Canis lupus familiaris: one gene and its partners. The protein of the gene in region 2 interacts with the protein of the main gene of each other region in a pairwise test. Links are inferred from orthologs where the notes say so. Each region holds a gene or a part of one and is shown on either strand. Other genes may lie near its edges. The genes, in order: FXR2, PCBD1, NTAQ1, HNF1A, HNF1B and TFF3.

Region 1 (5,002 bases), on a different chromosome or scaffold from region 2:
TGACCTTGCTGCTGATTTAATATTCATGACTCAGCAAACTTTGGTGTGGGTCAAGGAATGTTTACATTGCTTCTAGAACTATAAATTTGGGGAGGCCCCTTTCTCCTGTCTCAGAATTGGGTCCTGTTTTTGATCATCTTCCACGATAGCACTGCACATGTCAGATCTGGAATATAAGTTATCCTGTAGCTATCCCACCAACTCTTCATTTTCTCCGGTACCTAAAAGTGTTTTAGTCTCTAGGTTGTACTCTCCTCATGAAATATCTGTTCACCTTTCAGGGCACAATCAGCCAACGTTCCAGACCTTGCCTGGATGTCCACATTCCTCTTCCTGTCTTAAGGAATACAGCATCCCCAGCTTCAAGCTGTGGTTTTTATCCAGACCCCTCCTGTTTTTCTCCCAGAACCCCCTCCTTTCTTTTGAGAGTCCAGGACTAGAAGATAGGGTAGAGGTGGGGAATAATTTTCTATCTTATTTAAGGAAACAAGTATCTAGAACGCTTGGGTACTCTTCCTCTTTCTGGTCCTAAGCCCTTTAAGCCAAAGCCGGGATATGCTGCAGCCACTGAATTGAGTCATTCTTTGGATCTAGTTGGCTTTCTAGAGATTGATTCACCTGCTCCTGCTCTCACCTGCTTATCTCTCACTTTCTACCACTGGTATCTTTGGAGGAAAAAAATGGATGATGTGGGTGAAGTTAACATGAGTTTGGGAAGAAAACTTGTTCTGGTGAGTATTTGAAGGAAAAAGACCCTAGAAGTTTAAGATTGTGTGGTGTTTGGTTGAACTGCTGAGTAATGTGAGGGGAAACTCCATTCTGAGCTATTTCTGCCTTGGGGACAGATAGTGGTAGCTAGGAAAAACAGGGTGGTAGTGCTACCTCTCCCTGAGGGCTAACCCTAACATGTTGGGGGAGAATGGGATTAGAACCATGGGAATATCCTTTGCGAAGAAGTATATCTAGGAGCGGGAATCTCTTCTTAAAGGAGGCAGACAAGTGATTCTCTTCTATCTCCTCCATGCTTTTTATCTCATCCCTAAAATGTTTTGAGAAGAGCTAATCCTCTCTTAAACTATTTTTCAAGTTTAGGGACAGACATTTTGGATAAAGAATTGGATAAAGAAAAAAAAAGAATTGGATAAAGACAGAAGGAGCTAGGTAAAATGTTTCTAGAAATCCACACAGACCCTCACAGAGGGAGAAAAGAAAAGGAAAGTGATGCTGTTAGGAGGGGAGGGTGGAGGATGCTCAAGGAGCTGAGAACCCAAGGGGGAAGAAGGACTCAGGCAAACAGTGAGGAGTGAAAATGCCTCAGAAGACTCGTGTGTGGAATAGCAAGCTTGGGTATAGGTGGAGCTGTACAAAGAGTGGAGAAAACATGGGGAATGGCAGAGAAAACGAAAGCACAGCTGAGCAGAAGGGCAGGCACCAGGAGGACCAGATGCCTTGGGCAGTAGTAAAGCTCTGCATAGTGAGGCGCCGCAACAAGATCTGATCCCAAAAGAAGAGAAGGATGGCCAGCTGGTATCAAAGAATGAAATCTGAGTTTTGGTTTTCCCACCGTAAGGAAACAGCAGTATAGTAAATGTTTACGTTCAACCAGTTCATTGAGGTGGTAATGATAGAAGTGTGCATTTTCGGTGTTTTCTCTCCTAAGCTCAGCTGTTACGCATAGCTGCAGAGTTCAGGAATGGTTCTTGTGTGTTAGACTTTTTGAAATCCCTAAATTTTTTTAAAAAGATTTATTTATTTGAGGCAGGGAAGGGCAGAGAGAATTTCAAACAGACTTACTGCAGACTCCCCGTTAAGTGTGGTGCCTAAAGCCCGGCTCGAGCCTACCACCCCAAGACCATGACCTGAGCCAAAATCAAGGGACAGACACTCAACCCATTGAGCCACCCAGGCGCGCCAACCCCTAGTTCTTTGTTAACAGTTTTATTGAGGAATAAATATTGAAGTGCATATGTTCGAAGTATAAACTGAGAGGTTTTGACTTAGATACCAGTCTACATATCTATATAGATACGTGTCAAACCATTACCACAATCAAGATATTTCCATCACTCCCAGTTCTTTCAACCACCAATCTGCTTTCTGTCTGTTGGTAATATGTTAATTTGCACTTCCCTGATTTTTGACAAAAGCAAAAAGGCAATTCAGTCGAGAAAGGGTAGTCTTTTCAACAAATAGTGCTCAACCGGACTGTCCACGGGTAAAAAATGAACTCTGCATATCTTGCACCATGTACAAAGTTTAACTCAGAGCAGATCATAGATCTAAATGTAAAATAAAAACTACAAAACTTAGGACGCCTGAGTGGCTCAGCGGTTGAGCGCCTGCCTTTCTTTGGCTCCGGGGATGATCCCAGATTCCCCGGTTCAAGTCCCGCATCGGGCTCTTTGCATGGAGCCTGCTTCTCCCTCTGCCTGTGTTTCTGCCTCTCTCTCTCTCATGAATAAATAAATCTTTTTTAGAAAAAAAGAAAAAAAAACCTACAAAACTTGTAGAAGAAATAGGTGAAAGCTTTGGGTGTTGGATTGAGCAAAATTTTCTCAGGAAACCAAAAGCTCAGTTAGAAAAGAGCAAATTGATAAATTGGACTTTCAAAAACAACAATCCCTAATTTTGAATATGTGAAAATTAGAGAAGGTAGAAAAATTGGGAGCATAGGATTGAACATAGAGCTTGCCTGTCTTTGTTGAGATAGTAGGAAGTGGACCAGCTATTCAGTCATCCCTGTTCCTCTCCCAAGTCATGGTCTCAATTTGGGGTGTGGGGGTCTTACCCTTTTCAGATTCGTAGCAGCGTGTCATAGTCTAGCATTCAGAAATCTCACATATCCTAAGTCCTGATTTCTCCTTCTATAAATTGTGTTCATCCTTTTGAACTTCAACAGTGTTCCAAGAATTCACTTAGGACCCAGGCACGAAGGCACCGAGTTTGCTCAGGTCTCTTGCTGCGTTGGGGAGCTATACCCTTTTCTCTCTTGGCAGATCCTGATGTCCTCTAGGTGTTCCAGGACAGCCTCACACTGTCTCATGGGATATTCTTAGCCTTGCTGAGTATTGTTGGTATTTTAATTGAACTCTGGCAAGTTGCTCAGCACAACAGGAGGCAGATAGATAGGGAGGCCCCTGTGGGAATTATAGTAGACCCATCAGTCTCCAGGCTGTTCTTATGCAGGTGATGTTTTCCCCTTCTGTGTCATTTGTCTCATCTTATTTGTGGATTTTGCCAGTTGTCTTTCCATGTCAGTGTCATTTCTTTTGTCCCTGCCTCAACTTCATATTCTTGCCCCAGTCCCCAGTACAGGTAAGTTTTTCTGGTCCTATCTTTAAATTTCTTGTGTCTCTATCTAAAACTCTAGGTAACCGTCTCTTTTCCCTTGATGGTAGTAAATTGTCGTTTTCTTTCTTTCTTTCTTTCTTTCTTTCTTTCTTTCTTTCTTTCTTTCTTTCTTTCTCTCTTTCTTTTTTCCCTTCCCTTCCCTTCCCTTCCCTTCCTTTTCTTTTCTTTTCTTTTCTTTTCTTTTCTTTTCTTTTCTTTTCTTTTCTTTTCTTTTCTTTTCTTTTCTTTCTTTTCTTTTCTTTTCTTTTCTTTTCACTTTGTTCTAAAATCCATTCTAGGGCTTTGTGAAGGATGTCCATGAAGACTCTGTCACCATCTTCTTTGAAAACAAGTAAGACCTTGGGAATAGAGAATCCAGCATACTAGGTCCTAGAAGGAGAGTGGAGAAGAGGGGGCGGCTGAGTCCTATGAGGCATGTAATAGGTGGGGGAGAGCCAGGGGTGTGGGTGGTCAACTTATATAGACCCCAGGAGAGGAATGGGCTGAAATGTGTGTGTGTGGGGGGGGAAACGGTTGACCTAGTATTTGGATTCTAGCAGGAGACAGAAGATACAGTGGAGCAGGGCTTAGAATTTAGCCTCTAATCACCAGAGAAGGTGGGAACTGCCCAGCAGAGGCAGTAACCCCTTCCTGAAGAAATAGCAACATGATCCCAAATAGCTTTCATGTCACGGTTTCCCTTGCAGCTGGCAGAGCGAGAGACAGATTCCTTTTGGGGATGTCCGGCTCCCACCTCCAGCTGACTATAATAAAGAGATCACGGAGGGGGACGAGGTGGAGGTAAGAGCCAGGGCTCCACCCCTTCTAAATGTCACTTTTTCCAGGATTCTGTGGTCTCCCTTGCCCTGAGACCAGTATCCCAGGCTCTCCTCTGGTTGGTTCACTCTCCTCCCTCTGAAACCCAGCCCAGTAGGCTGTGGAAGAGAGAAGTGCACCAGCTCCCTTTCCCTGTTGTGATCAAACTCAGGGAGCTTCCCAGTTTCAGGGGAGTTACTTTCCCGTTATGGTGACAGCACCCTCTGGGCTTTTAATTAGCTCCTTCCTCGTGTCTCCTTTGTTGTGGTATAATGTGCTTCCCAGGGTCTGAAAGTTGCGTTCATGATGTTTTCATTTTTTAATTTTTTTTCGTTCGTGATGTTTTTAGCTGGGCCTCAGTATCTCTTTATTTTCGGCTCCAGGTTTATTCTCGAGCCAATGAGCAGGAACCTTGCGGCTGGTGGCTGGCCCGGGTGCGGATGATGAAGGGAGATGTGAGTGATGGGAAGCACGGACCATAGTCACAGAAAAGGGGGGGGACAGACGCTCAGGTCATCCACACTTGTTTCTTCCTTTCTGCCAGTTCTACGTCATCGAATACGCTGCCTGTGATGCCACTTACAATGAGATTGTCACCCTGGAACGGCTCCGGCCAGTTAATCCCAATCCCCTTGCAACCAAAGGCAGCTTCTTCAAGGTTACCATGGCTGTGCCTGAGGATCTGAGAGAGGCGTGAGTCAGGGACATCGGGATGGGGGCTCCGTTGACAGTCCTCCTGTTGGCCCACCTTTCTCCCAGGCCCCTCTTATTTTTGTTTATTTGTTTTTAAAGATTTATTTATTTATTTATGGGGTGGGGAGAGAGAGAGGCAGAGACACAGGCAGAGGGAGGAGCA
Region 2 (5,066 bases):
CTGTGTCTCTGCCTCTCTCTCTCTCTCTTTGTCTCTCATGAATAAATAAAATCTTTAAAAAAAAAACAAGTTAAACATACGCTCTGCCCCATGACCTAGCCATTCCACTCCTAGACATTTACCCAAGAAAAAGGAAAGCATCTAAATGGACTTGGACGGGAAGGTGCACAGCAGCTTTATGTGTAATAGTGAAAAACTGCAAACCACCCAAAATGTCCATCAACAAGTGAACAGATCAACAAATTGTGGTATATCGATACAACGTAACACTACAGAATAAATCTTACTTAGCCCTAGAAAGGAAGAAACTATTGATACATGCAACCACAGGGGCGAACCTCAAAGTAATTATGTTGAGTCCTAAGAAGCCAGACACAAGAGCATACATTGCACGGTTTGCATTTACATAAAATCCTAGGAAATGCAACCTAACGCATGGTGACCGGAAGGAGAGGAAGGGTCGCCAGGGAGGGAAGGGAACGTGCAGGGACGCGGGACGCGGGGTGTGTAAGAGCTTGCACGAGAGCTCACAACTGCCAAAGGCATCAAACTGTGCACTTTAGTTAGGTCACCACGTGAACCTGGTGCTTTTAAAAAATAAAGAGGTAATGTCGCGTCCGGGGGGACACGGCCCCGTGAGCGGCAGAGCGCAGATCAGACGCAGAAGTCCGCGCCCCGGGGCCGCCCCCCGGCCCCCGAGCTCCCGGGAAACGGAGCCCGGAAGAAAGTGCTGGAAGGGGCAGAGGCCGAGGTAGCGATTGCCCGCCCTCCCCGCGGCCCGGCCCCGCCCCCTCGCGGCCCCGCCCCCCTCGGCCCGGCCCCGCCCCCTCGGCCCGGCCCCGCCCCGCCCTCCCCGCGGCCCTGCCGCCCGCCGCCACCTGCCGCTCGGCCGCGTCCGCACCTGCGCCCGGTCCGCACCTGCGCCGCGCCCGCCATGGTGAGGGGTCGGGGCGCGCGGGGTCCGGGGGAGGAAGGGCGGACCGCGGGCCGGATCGCGGGGCCGGATCGCGGGGCCGGACCGCGGGGCCGGACCGCGGGGGCCCGTCCCTGCGAGCCCCTCGCCCGCCCCCGGGCTCCGGGAGCCGTTTCCCCGCCCCGCTGCCACCCGCGCCCCCGGCGGTGGCCCAGCGCGAGCTGAGCCCGGGAGAGCGGCGGTGGCGAGAGCGGCGGTGGCGCGGCCGGGTGACAGCGAGCCACAGCCCGGCCCGGCCCTGCTCCCGCCCGTGTCCCGGGGCGCCCCGCTGCTGCACGCGGGGCGTGGTTTTGGGTGGGGGTGGAGAGGCAGCTGGTGAGCCCGCAGACACACACCCCCACCCCCCCAACCGCCGAGGCCGGTTCTCTTGCACGGTGAGGGGAGGGCGCGTCTGTGTGTCTGAGTGTGAGTAGCGGGGTGGTCGGTTCTATGCTCCTCTGCCTTCCGGGCCCGCCCTCCGTGCACCCGGGCCTCAGAGCCTGCCCCCGTGCCTCGCTTGAGGCCAGGGGGGCCTGATTGCACGGGGTCAGCGCTCCTGCAGGCGGGGTGTCCCCCAGGAGGGCCCTGGCCCTCTGCTCGGGCCCTACTTCAACACCCTTACCCTCGGGGAGGTGAAGGGGAGCCCTGGCAGGGGAGGAGAGGAGCCTCTAGACCCAGGACGGCTCTTCTAAACAGCCTGTCTCTGGTCCCGAAGCCTCAGGAGCAGTCAGGACTGCGGTGACAGCTGAGAAGGCACTTGGAAAGCTGTGGCTTGGAGGGACGGCCAGAGGCCAGTTGTGTGGTGCACAGAGGCCCCAAAGATGCAGGGCAGGGTGGGTAATCAGTAACCCGAGCGAGTGCACACTCCCCCAGATGGCCTGGGCCAGGCCTGACCTGTGATTTACTAAGCAAACACTGCCCCTTCCCCCACTTGGATTCCAGCTCTCAGAGGGGCTGGGCATGTCCGCCCCAGGCTGTGAAACTTGGGGGATCCTGGAGGACTCTCAAGGGCAAGGGGTACCTCCTAGGAGCTCACCGGTACCCACCTACTTCTTTCTGGGCCAGAGAACTAATAAGCAGTGGGTTCTGATGCCTGGGCTGACATCATTCATCAGGTTGCCTGGATACACTGACCAGGCTTATCAGCCACTGAGAAAGGGCCAGCTCTGGAATGGAGCAGGGGTTGGGCACAGGATGCAGATCTCACAGAGCCAAGCTCAAGCCAGATCAGTCAGGAGAAAACAAGTGTTTTCAGGAGGGAGGGAAAGATTGACTTAGAGGAGGCTGCAATGCTTTCCAGTTGGACCCCAGGCCTGCAAGGCCTATCAAGCCAGCCGGCCCCAGGGAGTCTCCTTTAACGGATGCAGATGGCACCCCCTTAGTAACAGGGGAATTTACTGAAGTGTCCCACTGGCTCCTCTTGCTGATCTGAAAGTGGAAGTTCTGGGTCCCTTCTGGCTCTGGAGCCCAGGGAGGTGAGTGCCCCAGGGCCACCTCACTGGAGAATGGCAGATCTGGGGCCTGAACCAGTCCTGCCAACTCCCCCCAGGGCTGCTTGTGAAGCTAAATTAACCTCCCTCCCATCCTCCACCCCACTTAGTGGCTCGCTTTCCCTCAGCCCTCTGGAGTTTCTGTTTCAGCAGTTTCAGTGCTGGGATCCCTGATGCAGTGCCTAGGTCTGGATCCACCCCCCCAGGAACAGAACCGGCTTTTGCCTCCTTCTGTGCCTGAGGGTTCCACTCTTGGCCCATACCCTGCAGGTCTGGGCTGCCTCGAGGGCACTTTGCACACACAGTAGGTCAACAGGCTGAGGCACTAGGTTTGCCAGTCGCCCTCGGCCAGGTTAACTTCCACTTTGGGTCTGAGCTCTGGCTCAGGCTCCCCAGGCTGACGGAGTAGAAGAGAAGGTGGGGATCTGGAACCCCTAGGCCTGGCAGCTAGTACTGAGGCTGCATGGGGGCATGATGAACACCCACTGGGAGGTAGTTCCAGGGAGTGTCAGAGGTGGTGTGGCCAAGAATCAGCTGGAAGGTGTGGTCAGTGCTGGCTCCTTTCCCTGGGGGGCCTGGGATGCAGACTCAGACCCGCTTTGAGAATGATGCCTGTGCTCACGGGCTGAGGGGGATGTGCGTGTGTGTTTGTGTGGGGGAACCGTGCTCTTTTTCCCTTTCCAGGCCTAGATTCCTTGAGTAGAAGGGTGGCCATGGGGGTGAACTGGATACAGTCCACAGCAGGAAAAGGAGGCTTAGACCGTCGTGGGTACTCTTTCTGAAAAGTTGGGTAGTAACACATTTGCATCTGGGCTTGGTTTTGCTTTTACTCTCATTATCGTAAGAAACCTATGGGGCGGGGCTCTGTCGGGCTTTGGGAGCAGGGGTTGGGGGGTTGCTGAGCCCCAGTGACTTACATCACACCTCAGGATTTTCTGACCTCTGAGCAAAGTGTCAAAACCTAAGAACCTATCAGTATGTGAGCCAGGGCCCCACCTCCAGGGCCGGGTGCCACCGTCAACAACTCCCTGTGGTTGCTTTAGGCTGTGCCCCCCCAGAGCACCCGCGGAGGTTGCCTGAATGCCCCTCGTGACCAGGGCCCTCCCCTGGGTCCTGTAGAAAGAAGGCCCGTGGGCCTCTGTTGCCTCTCCTAGGCTGGCAAAGCGCACAGGCTAAGTGCTGAGGAGAGGGACCAGCTGCTGCCAAACCTGAGGGCTGTGGGGTGGAACGAGGTGGAGGGCCGAGACGCCATCTTCAAGCAGTTCCATTTCAAAGACTTCAATCGGGTATGTCAGCGGATGGGACAGTGTCTGAGACTGGGGCGGATGGGGTTCTCTCCCTCAAAGCCCTGCTACCCAAACTACCCTAGTCAGGTTGACTTCGAGTGTCACCCCTGGGGAGTGGGAAGCTGGGATCTGGGTTCTCCATATACCTGGAACTCTTAGAAACGATCCTCAGAGGAGATGGGTCAAGTAGGATACAGAGGTACATTTTAGCAGATAACCAAAATCTGGCCAAGACTCAACACCTCTGCGGTGTTTCCACCGTAAGGCAGGGTCCTAGAACAAGACGTTCCTCCTACTGAAGGGCCACCTTGAGCTGCAGTGCAGAACCAGCCATGGGTTGCTAGGGGGTGACTGAAGCTGGCCAGTCCGGCTCCCGCACCTAGGCCCTGCACCACCGGCCTCCCTCTCAGAGTGCTAACCTGCGTCTCACTTCACCACCGCAGGCTTTTGGCTTCATGACGAGGGTGGCCCTGCAGGCTGAGAAACTGGACCACCATCCTGAATGGTTTAACGTGTACAACAAGGTGAGCGGTGCGTGCCTGCCGTGGCCGGCCCGGCTGAGTTCTGAGGGCCCTTCCTAGGGCTTCCCTCAGCGCCTCCCAACCAAAGTTTGCCTGTCTGCCCCTCCTGGTCCTTTGGGCTCTTTCCTAGAATCATCAGGAACACCCCTGCCAAACGGTCAGGCTCACTACAAATTAAAGAATTGCACGTGGAAACACTGAGAGGACTCGCGGGCGGGGTAGACAATAAGTAGACGATAAGAAGGCGGAGCCCACAGAAGGCAAGGCTGTGGGGAGGGGCCACGGTCCCTGCTGATAGCTCCCAATGGGTTAGATCCTCCTGGAGGTGCGGGGGAATGAAGAAGTAGGAACCTGAGCTAAGAATGAAAAAGTAGGAACCACGCTCCACAAGCAGACAGGACTGACTGCAGGCGAATGCGCGCGGCCATTCAACAGCCACCACGTGCCAAGACGGGAGGGTTTGCACTGCTGCTAGTGACTCTTGGGAGGAGCCCCCAGGGGAGAGAGGGGTGCCAGGGCCCGTATCTCTGGTTTGATTCCAGGTCCACATCACCCTGAGCACCCACGAGTGTGCCGGCCTTTCGGAACGGGACATAAACCTGGCCAGCTTCATCGAACAAGTAGCGGTGTCCATGACCTAGGCCCCTGCCTTCCTCTCTGAACGCTTCAGGGGAAGGGGGTGACTGAACTGGGAACCCAGGGAGGGAATCGGGGAGCCCTGAGATGTCGCTGCAGCCAGAACTGCCGAGTGGACCCTGCTGTGGAAGGAGATGCCAGCGCCAGCACCGACCTTTCTTCCCCACACCCCTCTTCATCC
Region 3 (4,340 bases), on a different chromosome or scaffold from region 2:
CCTGTTGTTTCCAGATAGGTATCTACAAAATATAATCAATTTCATAAGCTACAACTTCAGTTAAACCATTACTATCTCCCTTAAAGCAATACATAAATAAAATATAGGGGCGCCTGGGTGGCTCAGACAGTTAAGCATCTGCTTTTGGTTCAGGTAATGATCCCAGGGTCCTGGGATCAAGACCTGAGTCAGGCTCCCTGATCAGTGGAGAATCTGCTTCTCCCTCTTCTTCTGCTCCACCCTGCCCACTCATGTTCTACCATGTTCTCTCTCTCTCAAATAAATAAAATATTTTTAAAAATTCAAAAATAAATAAAATATAAAATATTTCTAAGCAACCAACAATCAATGTGAATGAAGAAATCTAAATCCTTCCAAGCATTCTTAACAATGAAAATGCAAGAATTCATTATCTGATATTCTTTGGAGAGTAGAAAGAGACCTCAACAGGGAATCAGAAGACCTGGCAGATTCTCAAGTCTTAGTTTCCCAGATTGTTATGGGAGCTCCCTGAGTCTCTATCTCCTCCTTTATAAAACAGAAACAGCCATCTGAACCCTGCCTACTTTATCATGGTTCCATTAGCATGACATGATGCTTACAAAAGTGCTTTACGGGCTCCAGGATGGATCATTTGGTAGCGTGTGTGACTCTTGATCTCGGGGTTGTGAGTTCAAGCCCCACATTGGGTGTAGGGATTACTTAAAAATCTAAATCTTTAAAAAAAAATTTAAAAGGTGCTTTACAAAATATTAAGGGCTTTTTTTTAAGGGTTTGCTTTTTTAATAATTCATGTAAGTTTATCATAATTTTATTTAAACTCCAGAGACAAAAACATCTTTACTTCAAACCTGAGAGTACATGGCTGTAGTCTAAGGAATTTAAAAAGCTTTAACTTGTGTAAATACACCATCATCTATTTCTTGACCTACAAATAAGGGACTTAACTTTTCTAACTCAACTGTGCCCTGAAATGAGGGGAAAAAAAAATCTCATTCAAAAATAAACTTTAAAATGTTATTTTATTTTATAAAGCACGTTAGGACAGCACTGACCCCATATATTATATTTAGTTTCTACTATCACCCTAAATCTCTTGTTCTCTTTCTGCAATCAGTCACCAACTTACCATCTTCCTCTCATTAGATATGAAGACAGCGTAACACTCTTCTAAAGGATACTGGTCATGGTTTTTGATGTATTCACAGAGCTTCCAGATATTTTCTTCACTGAAATAAAATAATAGTTTCATCAACATAATTATACAATGACTCTCTGTGTCTTTCAAATTTGAACAGAAGACTGATGAGGATATTAAAAAGTTGGAAGAGATTTTAAACACCACCTCATTCAATAACTAGCTGATGCCTGACCCTCCTCTAAAATATCCCCAACAAAGTGTTACCCAAATTATACTGTGTGCTGAGCTCTCTCCAAACACAGCAGTTGTTACCTGCCCCAGCAGTGTTTGCAAATGGAGGCATTTTATAACTGATAAAATGCTACATCAATACTCCACAGCTTTGGGTCCAGTGACTCGAGACACAGCTGGAATTCCAACTCAGCCACTTAAACAAGGTAAGAAGCTTTGAACATCTTGACCTGAGTATCTACTTTTCTTACCTGTAAAATGAGGATAATCATATTTTAAACACTTGAAAAATCTTAGTTAATATTGGTTCACTGCTCCCCTTAGGAAAGGGGCAAGAATAATGTTTTGGGTAGGAGGGCTTCTGGCTGGAAAGGACTGAGGGCAGTTACATGATATGCCTAGGAATTCTTTTGGAGAGAGACTCTGAGTGGGATTCCCTACATCCCTCTGGTACAACAGAGGTCCTGACTTTTAGAAAGTTTTCTCATACTGAATTAAAATCCACCTTCCTATATTTCAGCCCCAGATAAATGTCTCTATGACAGGCCTTTAGATATTTAAAACAGTAGTCAGAACCACCTAAGCAATGCCAAGTGCATCAAACCAAGCCACACTGGTGGCCACAGGCACACTCCCACACAGGTAAAAACATTCACTGCTGGCAGTATTCACAGCTCAGCCCCTGGATTATTTTTTTTCAATGAGGCACATAGCACCTTCGTTCAAAACAACCTGCATCAACACTCTGCTCATACTCATGATTCAACTGTCAAAGTCTAATTTCCAAACACCTACACTATGCCACTTGAAAATAAAGTAAGGCATACACGGCACTAAGGACTACCACCATTTTATGACACACGTTCAATGCAGTTTTGACCTTGTCTACCTGCACGACTACATTTAAAGCACCGAAATGAAGTGTATTTTTTTCCTATGATTTTTTTCTATAAGATACCTAAGAAATCTTAACAGAAAAAGTAGTGGCAGAGGTAAAAACAGGAAACTGCTACTACTTCCATAGGCTATGTAGTATGGGGTAAGCAAAAAGGTACAGTTTCAACATGACATATGACGTGTATTAGCTACATTTTAAAAAACCTGGATGTTGGGCAGCCCCGGTAGCTCAGTGGTTTAGCGCTGCCTTCAGCCGAGGGCGTGATCCTGGAGACCCGGGATCGAGTCCCACATTGGGCTCCTGCATGGAGCCTGCTTCTCCCTCTCCCTCTGCCTGTGTGTCTCTCTGTGTGTGTCTCTCATAAATAAATTAAAAAAAAAAAAAAAAAAAAACCCTGGATGTTCTAAGACCACATTTTTAGAAGACATGTCTGTCCAGCCTCTAGACATTCTTGAGTTGATCAAAGACATCAAGAACCCATGATATAAAAGCACCATGCTAAGTGGTTGGAGAATGTAATGATAAATTAGAGCTTGCAGACAGTGAGAGAAGACATACAGATCCATAAATAAGCAAGCATCATAGAAGGCCATAAAAGATGCACAGAAGGAAGCGTCATTGATTTTGAGGGGCACAGGAAGATGGAGGGCATATAGGTCAGGGGTTTCTCCTTGTGTTGCCCTTCCCCCAGGCCTAAGGATGGGCACAGGGTTAACACAAAGATTTTAAGAATCTGTGTGTACCCCAAGTACTGTTGGCAGGCTGAATATGTACGTGGCTGGACAAACTTTGTCTATTATCTTTCAAATATGTGTGAATGTTACAAAGAGAAATAAAAATTTAAACTAAGAGTCACTGAATTTGTAGCCCCTTTTTATTATCAATTTTTTTCCCAAGAGTACAATTAATAACATGTAGGAGGATCTCAAGAAACTTGATGTTTAAAAAAAGGGGGCCTGGGGACACCTGGGTGGGTGGCTCATTCGGTTAAGCATCCAACTCTTGATCTCAGCTCAGGCCTTGATCTCAGGGTTATCAGTTCAAGCCCTGCATGGGGCTCACTCTGGGCATGGAGCCTACTTTTAAAAGGTTGAGGGGGGTACTTATACTTGGAAATGCTGGGGTTACTGGTGGAATAGGAAGAAACCCAGATTTGGTATGAATCCTAGCACCTCTTTAAAAAAGGGGGGGGGATCCCTGGGTGGCTTAGCAGTTTGGCACCTACCTTTGGCCCAGGGAGCAATCCTGGAGTCCGGGATTGAGCCCCATGTCGGGCTCCTGGCATGGAGCCTGCTTCTCCCTCTGCCTATGTCTCTGCCTCTCTCTCTCTCTCTATGCCTATCATAAATAAATAAATCTTTAAAAAAGGGGGGGGGGGATTGTGATAATAACGTTCCAACCTACTGGTTGATTACTTTGTTGTAGCAGAAAAACTAACAACGCAGCATTAAGGTCAAGATTCTGCAAGGATTACTGGTGATGGGCTGAGATCAGAGAAGCATGAAGGTAAGGATCCCTGGCACACAGGAGGAGCTCAACCAACATCTGAAGAGTACAAAGAGAATCAGACATGTTCTGCAAACCACCTAGTGCCACACAAATACTGGTTACCACTATTATCACTCAGCTGGGTCTGAACAGATAAATAACATCTGACAGAAGCTAAAAGACACAGAGAGGAGGCACTTATTCCAAGTTATAAAAACCTGCAGGAGCAAACATAATAAGGTACACTATCTGATAGATTAAGACAAGATAGAACAGTGGTTCTTAACTGAGGCAATTTTGCCCCCCAGGGAACATTTGGCACTATCTGGTGACGTTTTTGCTCGTCACAAATTGGGGCAGGGTGCTACAGGCTTCTAGTGAGTGGAGGCCAGGGATGCTGCTACATAGCCTACAATGCACAGAACAGCCCTCCACAACATTAGCACGTTCCACATGTCAATAAAGCCATGGGTGAGAAACCCTGGGTTAGGGCATAGAAGGCAGGCTCAAAATAAGATTGCAGAAACACAAGTGACCAGATCTCTGAATATGCTCAGGAGACAGACTTTACTGTTTATGCCT
Region 4 (4,340 bases), on a different chromosome or scaffold from region 2:
AATCATCTTTGTAAGAAAATATTAACACTTCACCATGGTGGCTTCTCAGTAAATATTAACTAACCTAAATGAAGTTTGGGTTTGTTTTTTTTTTAAGATTTTATTCATTTATTTATCTTAGAGAAGGAGAGAGGGCGCACAAGCAGGGGGAGAGGCAGAGGGAATCTCAAGCAGACTTTGCACCAAGCATGATGCCTGACACAGGGCTCCATATCAGGACCCTGAGATCAGGACCTGAGCTGCAAGCAGGAGTTGGACACTTAAACAACTGAGTCGCTCAGGCTCCCCAATTAACTTAATGTTTTAATCAGCCCCTTGATAATACTAATATCATAGTTTGGGGAAGGGCAGATGGAGAGACAGAGAGAGAATGTTATTAAGCAGGTTCCACGCCCAGCGCAGAGCCTAACTCAGGGCTCAATCTCATGACCTGGAGATCATTACCTGAACCAAAATCAAGAGTTGGCTGCTTAACCAACTGAGCCAACCAGGTGCCCCTACCAATATCATAGTTTTAAAAAATAAATTATATAAACGATCATCACAGCTTTTAAAAGTTGCTTTTTGCATTCAGTAGAAAATGGTAAGTAGCAGATGCTCAACAGATATAAAATGAGGGGGAGCACCTGGCTGCCTCAGTCAGTGGAGCTTGTGATTCTTGATCTCAGGATTGTGAGTTGGAGCCCCTCATTGGGTATGGAGAGGACTTAAAAATTAAATCTTTAAAAATTAGGGACACATACAAAAAATTAGGGACACATGCTCACTTCAGCTGCACATATACTAAAAAGGGTGGGGGGCACCTGGGTGGCTCAGTGGTTGAGCATCTGCCTTTGGCTCAGATGGTGATCCAGGGGTCCTGGGATCGAGTCCTGCATCGGGCTCCCCACAGGGAGCCTGCTTCTCCCTCTGCCTGTGTCTCTGCCTCTGTGTGCGTGTGTGTGTGTGTGTGTGTGTGTGTGATGAATAAATAAATAAAATCTTTTTTAAAAATCTTTTAAAAATAATAAATAGGGGCCCCTAGGTGGCATAGTCAGTTAAGTGACTAACTTTGGTTTCAGCTCAGGTCATGATCTCAGGATCCTAAGATCCAGCTCCTCATCAGCTCTGCGCTCAGTGTGGAATCTGCTTCAGACTCTCTCCCTCTCCCTCTACCCCTCTCACTTGTACTCTGTCTCTCAAATAAATAAATAAATCTTTAAAAAATATATTTAGGAGCGCCTGGGTGGTTCAGTCAGTTAAGTGTCTGCCTTTGGCTCAGGTCATGATCCCAGGGTCCTAGGATTGAGCCCCAAGTCAGGCTCCTTACTCAATGGGTATCCTGCTTCTCCCTCTCCCTCTGCCTGCACTCCCTCTGCTCGTGCTCTCTCTCTGTCAAATAAATAAATTATTTTAAAATTAATTAATTAGGGCAGTCTGGGTGGCTCAGCGGTTTAGCACTGCCTTCACCCCAGGGCGTGATCCTGGATACCCGGGCTCCCTGCATGGAGCCTGCTTCTCCCTCTGTGTCTCTGCCTCTCTCTGTCTCTATGAATAAATAAATAAAGTCTTTAAAAATATATTTTAAAAAATTAAAAATTAAAATTAAAATTAATTAATTAATAATAAATATTTTTTTGTTTTTTTTAATAATAAATATTAAATGAGGTGTAGCTTGCTCTTTCTCTCAAGCTCACCTACTCTCATATCTCAATAGTATACTTTTCACTTTATTTTTAAAAAAAGATTTTATTTATTTATTCATGAGAGACACACACACAGAGAAAAGCAGAGACATAGGCAGAGGGAGAAGCAGGCTCCATGCAGGGAGCCCAACGTGGGACTCGATCCCAGTTCTCCAGGATCACACCCTGAGCTAAAGGCAGCACTAAATCGCTGAGCCACCGGGACTACCCACTTTTCACTTTAATAAACTTTCCAAATTGAAAAAAAAAAGACCCAGAAAACTTTCCAGCTTATAAAATAAATAATAAGTAAATAAATGAATATTAATGAGTGTGCAAACCAATATGTGAATTTGAGAACTTTAATATTTTAATAAATGTTTAGGAAGCATGGGGAGAAAAGCTTATTTTTTTAATTACTGAACATGCAAATTGTGACCATGTCTTCATAAAGGACTACAGGAATATCTAGCAAAGATTTTAAAGTACCTACTCTCTGACCCAGAATTCCACATCTAGGAACTACTCTACAGACACTGTCTCGTGAGAACACAAATATATACAAAGAAGGATGTTCCCTGAAGCAGTTGGTTATAACAGCACATTGGAAAAACCCTAAAAGTACTTTGGTAGGGAGCCAGTTAAACAAATATGGTACCTCCAAATAGCGGAATAGCTAGCAGCCCTTCAAAGAGCAGAGAAAAAAATATATATTATTTATTGCTAGTATATGCATAAAATATCTCTGGAAGGATACATAAGACTGGGAATGTCCTTTAGGAGGACACCTGATTTTTATTGTAAACTCTATTTTCTCCTATTTTTTGAAACTAAGTTTGTTACCTTTTTTTTTAAGATTTTATTTATTTATTCATGAGAGACACAGAGAAGTAGAGCAAAGAGACAGGCAGAGGGAGAAGCAGCCTTCCTGTGGGGAGCCTGATGTGGGACTCGATCCCAGGACCCCAGGATCATGACCTGAGCCAAAAGCAGATGCTCAACCACTGAGCTACCCAAGTGCCCCTGTGTTACCTTTTTAAAAAATAACTTGGATAATTAAAAATAAATTTAAAAACATTTTTTTTTTACACATAGGCTCAAAAATGTGAAAGTGCACTTGGGATTTTGTGGGGTGTGAAGTCTCAGTAAGAAAACCCTCCCTTGCCGCTGAGCCTCTACTTGGGCCACTCCTTCTGCCCAAAACGCCCTTCCCTGCATCTCCATAGGCCAAAACTCCACTCAGACTTTAAGACTTAGTCTGAAAGCTCTCCTTCTGTGTGGTCCCTCCTGATGCCCCTGCCTCCCTGTGGAAGAACAGATTACTCTCTGGTCCTCTGCTGGCTCGGTATTTTGAAATACTTTATGTAGTACTACTGTGCACTGGGCCTGGCACGTGGTGAATGTTTCACAAACACCAGCTGTTACTGTTGTTTCTGTCATATTATAATACTTGTCTCGCTGTATCATAATGATCTATTCGGCTTCCCCTCTACGCAGAGTTCCCAGAAGGCAGAGATCTAATTCATGCACCTCCAAATACCTAGGACCAACCTACTCCCCTCCCCAGAGTGCCTTGCACAGAATAGGTAAGAAGTGCCCGTTGAATCCCTGACTTCCCCCCCAAGCACCCAGTCCTGGTAATGTGGTGGAGAAGCTCTCAGTCCCCACCCCTGAGCTGCAGAGAGTCCAGGGCCCTGCCAGGGAGGACGGGGCTGTGGTCATTACTTACGCTGGGCCACCTCTCGCTGCTTGCGGACGTACCAGGTGTACAGGGCAGCTCGCTTCTGTGTCTTCATGGGGGTGCCCTTGTTGAGATGCTGGGACAAGTGTGACTGGTTGAGGCCAGTGGTGTCGACTACCTCCCGCTGTGGGATGTTATGCTGCTGCAGGTAGGATTTGACCATCTTGGCCACGCGCCACGGGTCCTCCCTAAGAGGACAAAGACAGAGCCTACTCAGCAAGGGGGGTGCGGGAGTGGTGCCGGCACGGCTGGGGGGCCCGTGAGCCCTGGGAGTGGGGGTTGTCCTCACCTTTGTACCTCCTTTAAGGATCCTCCCCTCACCCTACCTGGAAGTGTTATTTGTGACTATGTCTTATCCACTGGGAGAGCCTGTAAACATTGTGGGGGCAGGAACGGTTCTCAGCACCCAAAATGGATTTGACATAATGTATGTCCATGGTGAATGCATGAATGAATGAGTGGATGGGTGGATGGGTAGGTAGATGGGATGGTGGATGGGTGGATGGGTGGATAGATGAATGGATAGATGGATTAATAGACAGTAGATGGATGGATGGAAGGGGTAGATGGATATGGGGATGGGGTATGGCTGTATGAATGGATGGGTGAGGGAGATCTATTGGGGAAAAAATGGGTCTGAAAACAAGGAGAGAAACATGATTCTCTAACTAATGCTGAGTGCTTGTATCTTTTGCCCAAGGTCACAAAGCCAGCCCAACAGTCCCATTCCACCTGAAGGGATTCCATTTTAAGTCAATCTATGGGGTAAAAATCACCTAGAGTCAAGACACCTCCTGAAAATCTGCACTAAACCCCAGGCTGTGGCCTGGCCAGTTTCCCTACAGCACAGGGGCAGCCAGGTCCAGGTGATGGAGTTACGGGGCTGGTCTTCAGAGGCTTCATACAAAAAAACATGTGTGTTTGAGCACCCGAAT
Region 5 (4,340 bases), on a different chromosome or scaffold from region 2:
CATGAATAAATAAATAAAATCTTTAAAAAAAAAATAACTTGATGTCAGGGTGCCATAGAACACACTTTGGGAAACCCTGCTGTAGCCACACTTAGCTGGATAACCAGTACGTCAGTATCCCTGGATTGAAGGGATGGATTTCAGGTCCATGTGCTTGCCCACCTGCTCAAGTGAGCTTCTGGTGGTGTTACCTGTTGCACTCCTCCACTAAGGCCTCCCTCTCTTCCTTGCTGGGGTTCTTTTGCCGGTCGTAGGCCTGGTACAAGATTTGCTGGGATGCGGGCCCCCATTTGAACCGGTTGCGACGCATCTTCTTGTTGGCGGGCTCAGAGCAGGCGTCATCGGACTGCCCAGGCCCCTGGCTCTGTTGACTGAACTCTGGAAAGAGAAACAGCAGCTGATCCTGACTGCTTTTGTCTGTCATATTTCCAGAACTCTGGACTGTCTGGTTGAATTCTGAAAAGAGAAAGGAGTAGATTTGATAGGGTCTGTAGCCTTCACTTGGCAGACAGACAGACAGACAGACAGACAAAAACACCGCTATTCCCCTCCCCTAAGTTTTGCCATCGGCAGTTGTTGTATGTGTGTGCGAGTACAGAGGGGGAAAGCCCACCACAGGTCCCCTCACTGCCCACCTCAGTTTGCTCCACCAAAGCCAACCCTTTTCTCTGTTTGAAGGAGCTCAAATGTGGCCAACCATTGTTTTAGTGGCAACGTGTTTTCGTTGGCTCACTGGCCCTCAGACATGAAGCAACCCTCTGGAATCCTGAACTCTTGCATTTTGGTGTCCAAGAGGATGAGCTCAACCATGTCTTGGGTCTAGAGGTAAAGGCTCAAAGGTAAATTTTCACTTAGACAAAATATTTAGAGACTAAAATAGGCTCTCCCCACTTCCCCTCTCTCCTCATGTATCCTAGGTATCTACATTATGATGTTATGTTCTTAGAAACACCCAAGACCCAAAACCTGTTCACTATTACTTTGAAATAAATATAAGTGAAGTTTTATAATAGAAAGAAAAGAAGCTCTCTGGTTTCAGATAACTTCAAAGGCAATGGTGTGTGTGTGTGTGTGTGTGTGTGTGTGTGTGTGTGTGTGTATGTGTATCCAGGGGGTTCATTTATGAGGGGAACAGCTGGTGAGGGAAAGGTCTTAACAGATTTGCCTACACTTCTGAAAGATGGCAAATGCAGAAGACTGCAAACACAGGACCTTTCTAGCAATGGCATTTCATGAGTTGGACAAAAGTAAATGTAGATGAAGTGCTGCTCCCTGTCCTTCCAATTCCCAGGATCCAGGTATATAGTGACCCTCAATATATTTTTTGTTGAACGAATGGAAGAAAGGTGGCAGTTCACCCTGTGGGGATACCCTAGCTCATATGGTTTAAATGAGATCTGATATTTACTTGTGGGATAAGAGAACTTTGTTATTGTCTTCCTTGTATCTACACAAAGCAGGGTTTAGAGTCATTAGTTCCATTTTACAGATGAATAAGCATAGAGGCCAACCACCTTGCTGAGCAAGGACACATAGCAACTTCATTTCCTAACTCCTGGTTCCTATCTTCTGGACCTTGATGTTTTTCTTTCTTGGTTCTTGGAGTTACTCCTACAGGTCTCAGAGGCAACTTGATCCAAAATTCTCCAAGGTTCATAGTTGGGCCACTATTTAATGCTGGAATCCCCTCTATGACACCCTACCACAGGGACCTCCAGTGATGGGGAACTTACTACCAATCTTAAGATCCATTTCCACTTTGGTCCATCCTCAAACAGTGGGCCTCTAACCAGCCTGGACTGAGGACTCAGTTACAGGCGGTGCTGGGCTTTGTGTGAACTGGTTGCTGATGGGCCAAATTCTAAGCAGTCTCCTTGACGGATGGACTATGTCACTGGGGCCTTCGATTTGGATGATTCTCAGGCCACTTACGGCTCTGTGTTCACTGATTCCCAACAACTCTTTTAGATATCCTGAGACAGTCTCTTCTAGATCTATTGGCAGGAAGCCACTGCTTCAGTTGACTAATGGAGGACCCCAGCCGTGTCACCTAACTGCTCCCTCTTGCAGCTTCCCTGCCTGTGGGATGGGACCGGATGAAAACCTAGTACTCATTCAGTAGTCTTTCAGAACATCTACTTTTAGTCAGGATGATGATGGGGACCCAAATTCCTAGGGAGGCCATGTTTTTCAAAGTGCTTTCACACGTCTTATGTCATTTGGTCTCCATGGCCACCAGCTCCTACAGTTATCTTAGGGACAGTAAGAGGGAGAGAAAGAAGCTCCCTGCTCAGAGGAGGTCTGTCTCAGGGTCTTCCCTCCTCCCTGTGGCATCACCCTGAGTAAGAGCCAAAGCTTTATGGATAATCCCAAGGACCCAGGACCCACATGAGGCTCTGTAATGACAATGAACCTATACCGAGGGGAGGTATCATACAAGGTCCCCTGACCATATCCTTCCATCTAATTCTCACACCCTCTCCATGCAAGAAGTATTGTCTTCTCCATCTTATAGCTGATTGAGGTTCACACTGGTTATGTGACTTGCCCAAAGTCACATGGATGTGGGGCACAGGCCAGACATGGGCCCAGCCTACAGACACTGGGGCTACTTATCAGCAGCCTATGCATCACTTCTTGCTAAAAACCAAAGCCAAACAATACATCCACAAAACCTTAAAAGTCTGACTTGGGTGAAGGTAATAAAACTGACTAAAAACAAACAAACAAACAAACAAACAAAAAACTGACTCAGGTTCTGTCTGTGGTGGGTGTGAGGCTCACTCATGGCTGCCTGGAGTGTAAGGCTGCCTCTGTCTGCTGGCCGCCCTCCGACGAGGCAGCCTGCATGATGTTCAGGACCCAGCATATACCAGGATAGGCCAGGATGACTTGACTGTAGGTGCCTGGAAATATCCAGGTTCTGCCCACCTCAGGGTCCTAGCCCCTCAAGTTTTAAAGAACTAGAATTCGTCTCATCCTCCAGCCACCACCACCTCTCCTCACCTTCTAGATTAACAGAGGGAAGCAGGGAGACAGAAAACATTTGCTGCCTACAAAAATTAACTTGGAGAAGCTGGTTTCAGCAACCTCTTTATAGGCTCGGGAGCCAGCTTGGACAAGCAGATTCTCTATGTATAGATGGGCCCACAAATATTATCACTGATATTACCATTTTTAGTTTTTCGAGAAAATTTATGTCCTCTTTTAAAATTCTCCCCCCTTTCTCCTACACATTCCATCTCACTTGCTAATTTTTATCCCATGCTTGAGTGTCTTGTATTCATCCTTCAAGAATTGGTTCCAACGTTCCCTCCTCTAAGAAGCCCTCTGTGATCTCTTCAGGCCATTTAGCAATTCCTCTGCTGCCTCTTGTGTACATCTTTATAACAGCTCTTAGAAAGCAGCTGTCATTATTTACTCAAACATGTCATCTCCCCCATTAGGTGGTAAGTACTTGTAGAAAAAGCCTGTGCATCTCACAGCCCAGAATAGTGTTTGGCACCTAATAGGTGTTCAAATAATATTTACAGAATGAAGGAATATTTCTTAAGGTTTATGTCTTGTATGGCTTTAAAATGATAATAATGGTAATTTTAAAAATCTCTTGCAGGGACTGTCATATATTTTTGTAAACTATCTCTTCTCAAGCATCTTGAGAAACTTTCTGGGACGTGTATCTTTTTCTATGGCTTCTAGCTGGCCTTTCCTGTATTCCTCTCCTTTCTGAGAGAATTTCCACTGAACACAGGGAAGCAGTTCAAACTGGAGATGCCACACGAGGCTTGGATTGGAGTGAGAGCAGGCCCATGTTCTCTGGCTTTTGGAGACTGTGGCTTCTGAGAATGTTCTCAGACCTTCCAGGAATTACAGAGAGTTGCTTCATGTCAGAAACACAAATTCTTAAGAATGTGGCCACCTTGGATGGTGAATCAACCCAGAGTTTAAAGGGGGCCTCTTCTCCTATGCAGCAAAGAGCTGAGGCTTTGCTTCTAATCTGTAGATTCATTTAATGCACTAACGAACAGCCACCACATGAGAAGGATGTCCAAAAACTTTCCTTCCACTTTCCTTTCCAAGGCCTTTCTGGCCCACGGACACTGAGACAATAAATACTCAAACAATCACTTCAGAGCAGTGTATGGCAGAAAACAGGAATGATTTTTTAAAGCAGCCCTCCAGTGAGAGGGAAAAAAATCCAACCCAGAAAGTGGTGGAAATTAATATCTTGACAAAGACAAGAGGATCCCACGACCCAGGGGATAGTATATGAGATGAGTGGAAGCTCATGCAAAATTTTCCTGGGAGAAGGGTCAGATCAAAAGAATTACAGGATAATG
Region 6 (4,784 bases), on a different chromosome or scaffold from region 2:
CTTTTTTTTTTTTTTTTTTTTTTTTGGAAACTTACATTTGAAATGTCTTTTCGGAATTCGCAGGGGGCGGCTGGCCTACTGAAGAGGCTGCTCGGCCTCCCTGCCTCCCTCCGCAGGGCTTGGTCTGAGGCCTCTGACAGCCTCACACAAACGATGCAGCTATTTAGGGATCACCTCGCAGTTCCGAGGCCCCCCCAGGAGGGAGGCCCTGGGCTGGAGGTGCTCCTACCCCCTCCAGCCACCCCCAGGTGGCAGAGGCTGAGAAAGGAGGTGAGGCTGAGAAAGGAGAGCCGCTTGGGAGAAATAAAACACAAGAGCATCGAGTCTCAGGAAGGAGGAACTGCCCTCGTGCTGAGTACGGGGATCTTTATTCATTCAGACATCAGGCCCCAGAGCTAGCTTTGGCCAGGAGCAGGGTGAGAGAGAAGCAGGGATGAGCCAGGGGACAAGGCGGGCGTCCCGGAGTGGGGGAGGTTGCTTCCCAGGGTGTCCGGGGCCGAGGGCGTTGCTTCAAAATCTGCATTCTGGAAACAAAGCACAGGCTTGCATCCCCACGACCTGCCTCGGCTCCACCCACCGGGTGCCTGGCTTCTCAAGGTCAAGACAGGCTCCAAGGTCAGGGCCTGGGGCTGCATTCACCCCAAGTCCCTGGGAAAGTGTTTTGAGTGTCCAACCTTCCGAAGAAGAGCCCACCGGAACCTAGGGGTTCGGGCAGGTGATAGGAGAGATGGGCCTCAGCAGGGCGGCTGCCAGCCCCCGAAGGAGAAGGGGTAGGACCCTCAGCCCCCACCCCACATGGAGGGGCCCCAAGGAATGAGGAGAGCCAGCAAAGAGGCAATGGACAACCCCTTCCTGGTCCCAAAACCTTATGTGGGCCTCTGCCTGGATTTGCCAGGAAGGGGCAGGTGGCCCCGGGCACTGGGCCAGGGGGCAGGCATCATCGATGGGGATTGCGGGGGCGGCTCGCACCGGCTACAAGGAGGCCCCACTCCCTTATCACCCTGGGACAAAGGGGGCGGGTACTGACTCCAGGAAGGGACCTACTTCCAAATAGGGGCCTGTGTCCTTAGAAGGCATTTGGACAGCCAGGTGGCTTATAGCAGGCCTCACGCCTGAGATGTTGGGGTGGGGGGTGCTGATGGAGCCAGGGCGGCACCCACCCGCATGCGCCGACACCTGCTCCTGGCGGACAGGGGTGTCCCGCCCCCGCTGCACCACTGAGGCACTGGGGTCTGGGATCAAGTCCCGCATCAGGCTCCTTGCGGGGAGCCTGTATGCCTCTGACTCTCTCTCGCTGTCTCTCTCATGAATAAATTAAATCTTTAAAATAAAAAAGAACAGGGCGCCTGTGCCCCTCGGTGGAGGCGGGGCGGGGGGAGACGGCGGGGTGTGGACGGGCACCCGGCTCCGTGCCCGCTGCTGCACCGTCGGCCCTGCCAGGACCACGTCACAAGGGCAGGGGTGTGTTTGCTGAACGCGGCTGCAGGCATTGGCCCGGCCTCCCAGGCCTGGGCATTTTCCATTTCCCTCCAAGACAGTCTTTAAACTAGTTCTCTCGACGTTGTGCCTTGACTGAACATCTTTTCGGAACAGCTGCTATTAGATTGGGCACAAACCTCAGCAGAGGGACATCTGGGACCGCCACGGGCCGCCGACTGCCCTGGGCACGACTCCTCTGACCGAGGCCTCCACCGCCGGACAAGCCGCGGCGCTGGGTGTCCCGCCCGGGCGTGCGTGGCTTCCTGGGGACCTGGGGGCTCCCCCCTGGGGCCGCTTACCTGTGTCCTGCAACGGCTTGAAGCACCAGGGCACCCCGTGGATGCTGGAGTCGAAGCAGCAGCCCCGATTGACGCACTGCTCGGAGGTGATCTCAGGGTAGCCGCAGTCCACCCTGTCCTTGGGCGGCACCTCGCACAGGTTCGTCGCTGTCCCAAACGACACCCGGTCAGCACCCGGAGCCCTTGCCAGCCTGGGTCGGTCTGCTGACTTCATCCTGCGAGTGCGCAGCCTCCCCCAGCATCTGGGGTGGAGGCGCAGGACCCCAGCCCCACCCCGGCATCTGCTTGAGGACGACCCTCGCCCGTGGATGGTTTCACACGCTCGGGGGGAGCTCTGGCCTCTGCCAGGGCGCCCCTCGCACTCGTGCGCCCCCAGGGCCCCGTCGGGGAGCCCACGGGGCCGCTGTTCCCTCCAGCTGGCAGGAACCCCTGGAAATCTGGGGGCCCCTGAACCCAGAAACAGAGTTCCCCTTCACTGTTTGAGCAACAAAAAACTGCCCCCCTTAAAAAATAAATAGTATAATAGATGATACACCCTCAAAACAGAAGACCACAATGCGAGCTATTTTTTGCCCCTTTTCTGTGTCCCCCTGTCCCCCATTTACTCGGTTTGTCACACCTTCCCGGCACCTCCTTCCATCCTCAACTCTTGTGTCTCAAGCAAGCCTATGTTGGCTCCAGTTCTGCAACGTTTGCCTCGTTGCCTGACGGGATTTTTCTTAGGAAAACAGAACCCGCAGGAGATCCCCGAAATCCTCTCCTATCTCTGCTACCCGGAAAATTCTCATTCCCGCAGCTCCGAACGTCGCTCCCACTGGGACCCCTGAGACGGTGTGGCGTGGTGGGGGCATCCCGGGCTACAGCAGGTGCACAGCTCCCCAGGTGACCCGGGGGGGCACCCCAGCTGGGAACCACTGCCTCTGGCATCTGATAAGAGCCGCACCCTAATTTCCTCAAACTTGGGTCGATGGGATAGTCACGCCCCCACCCCCACCTGCAGGCACAGTGCCAGCGCTGAGTGAAAACTGCCTGCGTGTACCGAAAATGTTCTGGAAGAAACTGCTCCCACCGGACTTTCTGTTCCATAAACGTGCCAGCACAGCGCATAAAGACCTCTATGGTAATTCAGAAATCTGCGGCCGAGAGGGCGATGGGGCAATAGGGTTGGCAGCGGCTGCCAGCAGGCCGGGCAGACCTGGGTTCTAACCCGGTTCCAGCCCTGCCCGGGAGGGCTGCCCACGACCAGTCACTCGCTTTCTGAGCCTCAGTTTGCTTGTCTGTGAAACGGAAACAGCAAGATCCAGTTTGTGGTGCTACTGAGAGGGACCGTGTGCGTCCGGTGATTGGCAGTTACTAACGGACGAGGGGGCTTGGTCACCTTGCCCCGAGCCCCCATGAGGCCCCCCGAGCCTGGGGCCTGTGTCCCTGCCCCTGCTCCTCTGTCCCCACTCTGCCACCAGCCCCCTCCTTCCCACGGAGTGGAGAGGAAGTCCGAGCAGTACTCACCCAGGCCCTGGTAAGCCACTGCCAAGCTGGAGGACCCCAGGACCAGGACCACCACCAGCAGCCAGAGCACTCTGGCCTCCATGGTCACGGGTGGGCTCTGGGGACCCGACCGCTCAGAGATCGTGCCGCGTCGGCCCAGAAGACGCATTTATACCCTTGTGTTTGCCCAGGTCCTCTGGCTTCTGTTTGTCTGGGGACGGCCCTTCCCTCTGGCTCTGGCCGCACCTACTTCTCCCGGCGCAGGGCCCTACAGCCCCCAGCGGCTCGTCTTCCTGAAGGCGAGAGGCAGTCGGACCCCAGGGCGGTAGCAAGCAGCGGGGGGGCCAGACTCCAGTCTCTGGGTTCCACTCCTCTCCGGGGAGCAGGGCTGTGGGTCCAGGCTCGGCCGGCCTCGGGGAGAGGATGAAGTCTCATTTCAGGGCCGGACAGTGGCCAGCAGCCCAGGCAGGAGCAGTCCAGGAGGCTCCCTCCTCAGTGAGCACAGCGCCCGGAGTCCCAGACCGGCCTTGGGGACCTGAAAAGACGGGGCCCGCCGGCGAGTCAGGCACACCGTGCACCCGGATCTCGTTTCCTCCTCGAAATTCTTAAAAATCCCGTCCTTTCTGTTTTTATTGTTGACAGCAAGATTTATTTTTATCATTAAGTACACTTTCATAAACGTCTTCGGTAAACTTACACAATATTTTAATGAAATTCAATTTAATAAATTGTAATATTTTGAAAACAAGAGGATGCATACAGTGGGTTTTGAAAAAATCAGACAATACCAAATAAAGCCCTCCCCTGTCTAGAGATACCTGTGTTTAACACTTCTTTCTTTCTTTCTTTTTTAAGATTTTATTTATTTATTCATCAGAGACACACACAGAGAGGCAGAGACACAGGCAGAGGGAGAAGCAGGCTCCCTGCGGGGAGCCCGATGCGGGACTCGATCCCAGGACCCCAGGATCACAACTTGAGCCGAAGGCAGATGCTCAACCGCTGAGCTACCCATGCGGCCCTGTTTAACATTTTCTTAGGTATTTTTCCAGAAAAGTTTTCTCCAGATCCAAGCACGTTTTCTTTTTCTCTTTTTCTTTATCTTTTCCAAGCACATTTTTAACCCAAATGAGAACTTATGAGACACATTTGCTCATCCGCCTTTTTTTTTTTTTTAAATGAAGGGCATATCCTGGAAATTATTTTACCACAACCTATCAAAACGAGATGGGAATAATTATGCTCATGGTCCAGAGAAATGAACTGAGGCTCACAATATAAGGTGCCCGTTGGGGCTTCCTCTCATGGACCAGGCGGAGCTAGGATCTGGAAGCAGGTGCACCTGGCTGGTCACCTCAGCGCCCAGGTGGGGGTGCAGGGTTGGAGGGGGACCTGGAGCACCCCAGAGTTTGTCCACAGAGCTGTCCTCCACGCGGTGACTGAGGGGCCTGGCTGTGCTCGCCTTGGCAATGGGGGTTGGGTCCCACCTTGTGACAGCCCAGGCCTAGCCCGTGAGGACCC

The links.
Region 1: the proteins of PCBD1 (region 2) and FXR2 interact in binary tests that used the Homo sapiens proteins (3 or more experiments, as listed by UniProt). The link is inferred for Canis lupus familiaris from reciprocal best matches to the Homo sapiens genes PCBD1 and FXR2.
Region 3: the proteins of PCBD1 (region 2) and NTAQ1 interact in binary tests that used the Homo sapiens proteins (3 or more experiments, as listed by UniProt). The two-hybrid records come from large-scale screens. The link is inferred for Canis lupus familiaris from reciprocal best matches to the Homo sapiens genes PCBD1 and NTAQ1.
Region 4: the proteins of PCBD1 (region 2) and HNF1A interact in binary tests that used the Homo sapiens proteins (3 or more experiments, as listed by UniProt). The link is inferred for Canis lupus familiaris from reciprocal best matches to the Homo sapiens genes PCBD1 and HNF1A.
Region 5: the proteins of PCBD1 (region 2) and HNF1B interact in binary tests that used the Homo sapiens proteins (3 or more experiments, as listed by UniProt). The link is inferred for Canis lupus familiaris from reciprocal best matches to the Homo sapiens genes PCBD1 and HNF1B.
Region 6: the proteins of PCBD1 (region 2) and TFF3 interact in binary tests that used the Homo sapiens proteins (3 or more experiments, as listed by UniProt). The two-hybrid records come from large-scale screens. The link is inferred for Canis lupus familiaris from reciprocal best matches to the Homo sapiens genes PCBD1 and TFF3.

The regions. Positions count from the first base shown.
Region 1 is NC_049226.1:32,726,284-32,731,285, reverse strand, and holds the start of FXR2 (fragile X mental retardation syndrome-related protein 2), read left to right. Parts: upstream 1-1,570; 5' UTR 1,571-3,180; coding exon 3,181-3,315; intron 3,316-3,629; coding exon 3,630-3,682; intron 3,683-4,037; coding exon 4,038-4,131; intron 4,132-4,529; coding exon 4,530-4,601; intron 4,602-4,690; coding exon 4,691-4,839; intron 4,840-5,002. UniProt on the Homo sapiens protein: mRNA-binding protein that acts as a regulator of mRNAs translation and/or stability, and which is required for adult hippocampal neurogenesis. Specifically binds to AU-rich elements (AREs) in the 3'-UTR of target mRNAs.
Region 2 is NC_049225.1:22,451,251-22,456,316, reverse strand, and holds the start of PCBD1 (pterin-4-alpha-carbinolamine dehydratase), read left to right. Parts: upstream 1-1,661; 5' UTR 1,662-1,773; coding exon 1,774-1,785; intron 1,786-3,596; coding exon 3,597-3,728; intron 3,729-4,171; coding exon 4,172-4,252; intron 4,253-4,791; coding exon 4,792-4,890; 3' UTR 4,891-5,066. UniProt on the Homo sapiens protein: Involved in tetrahydrobiopterin biosynthesis. Seems to both prevent the formation of 7-pterins and accelerate the formation of quinonoid-BH2. Coactivator for HNF1A-dependent transcription.
Region 3 is NC_049234.1:22,159,372-22,163,711, reverse strand, and holds part of NTAQ1 (protein N-terminal glutamine amidohydrolase), read right to left. Parts: intron 1,230-4,340; coding exon 1,130-1,229; intron 23-1,129; coding exon 1-22. UniProt on the Homo sapiens protein: Mediates the side-chain deamidation of N-terminal glutamine residues to glutamate, an important step in N-end rule pathway of protein degradation.
Region 4 is NC_049247.1:17,156,556-17,160,895, reverse strand, and holds part of HNF1A (hepatocyte nuclear factor 1-alpha), read right to left. Parts: intron 3,594-4,340; coding exon 3,394-3,593; intron 1-3,393. UniProt on the Homo sapiens protein: Transcriptional activator that regulates the tissue specific expression of multiple genes, especially in pancreatic islet cells and in liver. Binds to the inverted palindrome 5'-GTTAATNATTAAC-3'.
Region 5 is NC_049230.1:37,448,602-37,452,941, forward strand, and holds part of HNF1B (hepatocyte nuclear factor 1-beta), read right to left. Parts: intron 457-4,340; coding exon 192-456; intron 1-191. UniProt on the Homo sapiens protein: Transcription factor that binds to the inverted palindrome 5'-GTTAATNATTAAC-3'. Binds to the FPC element in the cAMP regulatory unit of the PLAU gene. Transcriptional activity is increased by coactivator PCBD1.
Region 6 is NC_049252.1:36,522,946-36,527,729, forward strand, and holds TFF3 (trefoil factor 3 precursor), read right to left. Parts: upstream 3,409-4,784; 5' UTR 3,367-3,408; coding exon 3,285-3,366; intron 1,926-3,284; coding exon 1,779-1,925; intron 525-1,778; coding exon 511-524; 3' UTR 477-510; downstream 1-476. UniProt on the Homo sapiens protein: Involved in the maintenance and repair of the intestinal mucosa. Promotes the mobility of epithelial cells in healing processes (motogen).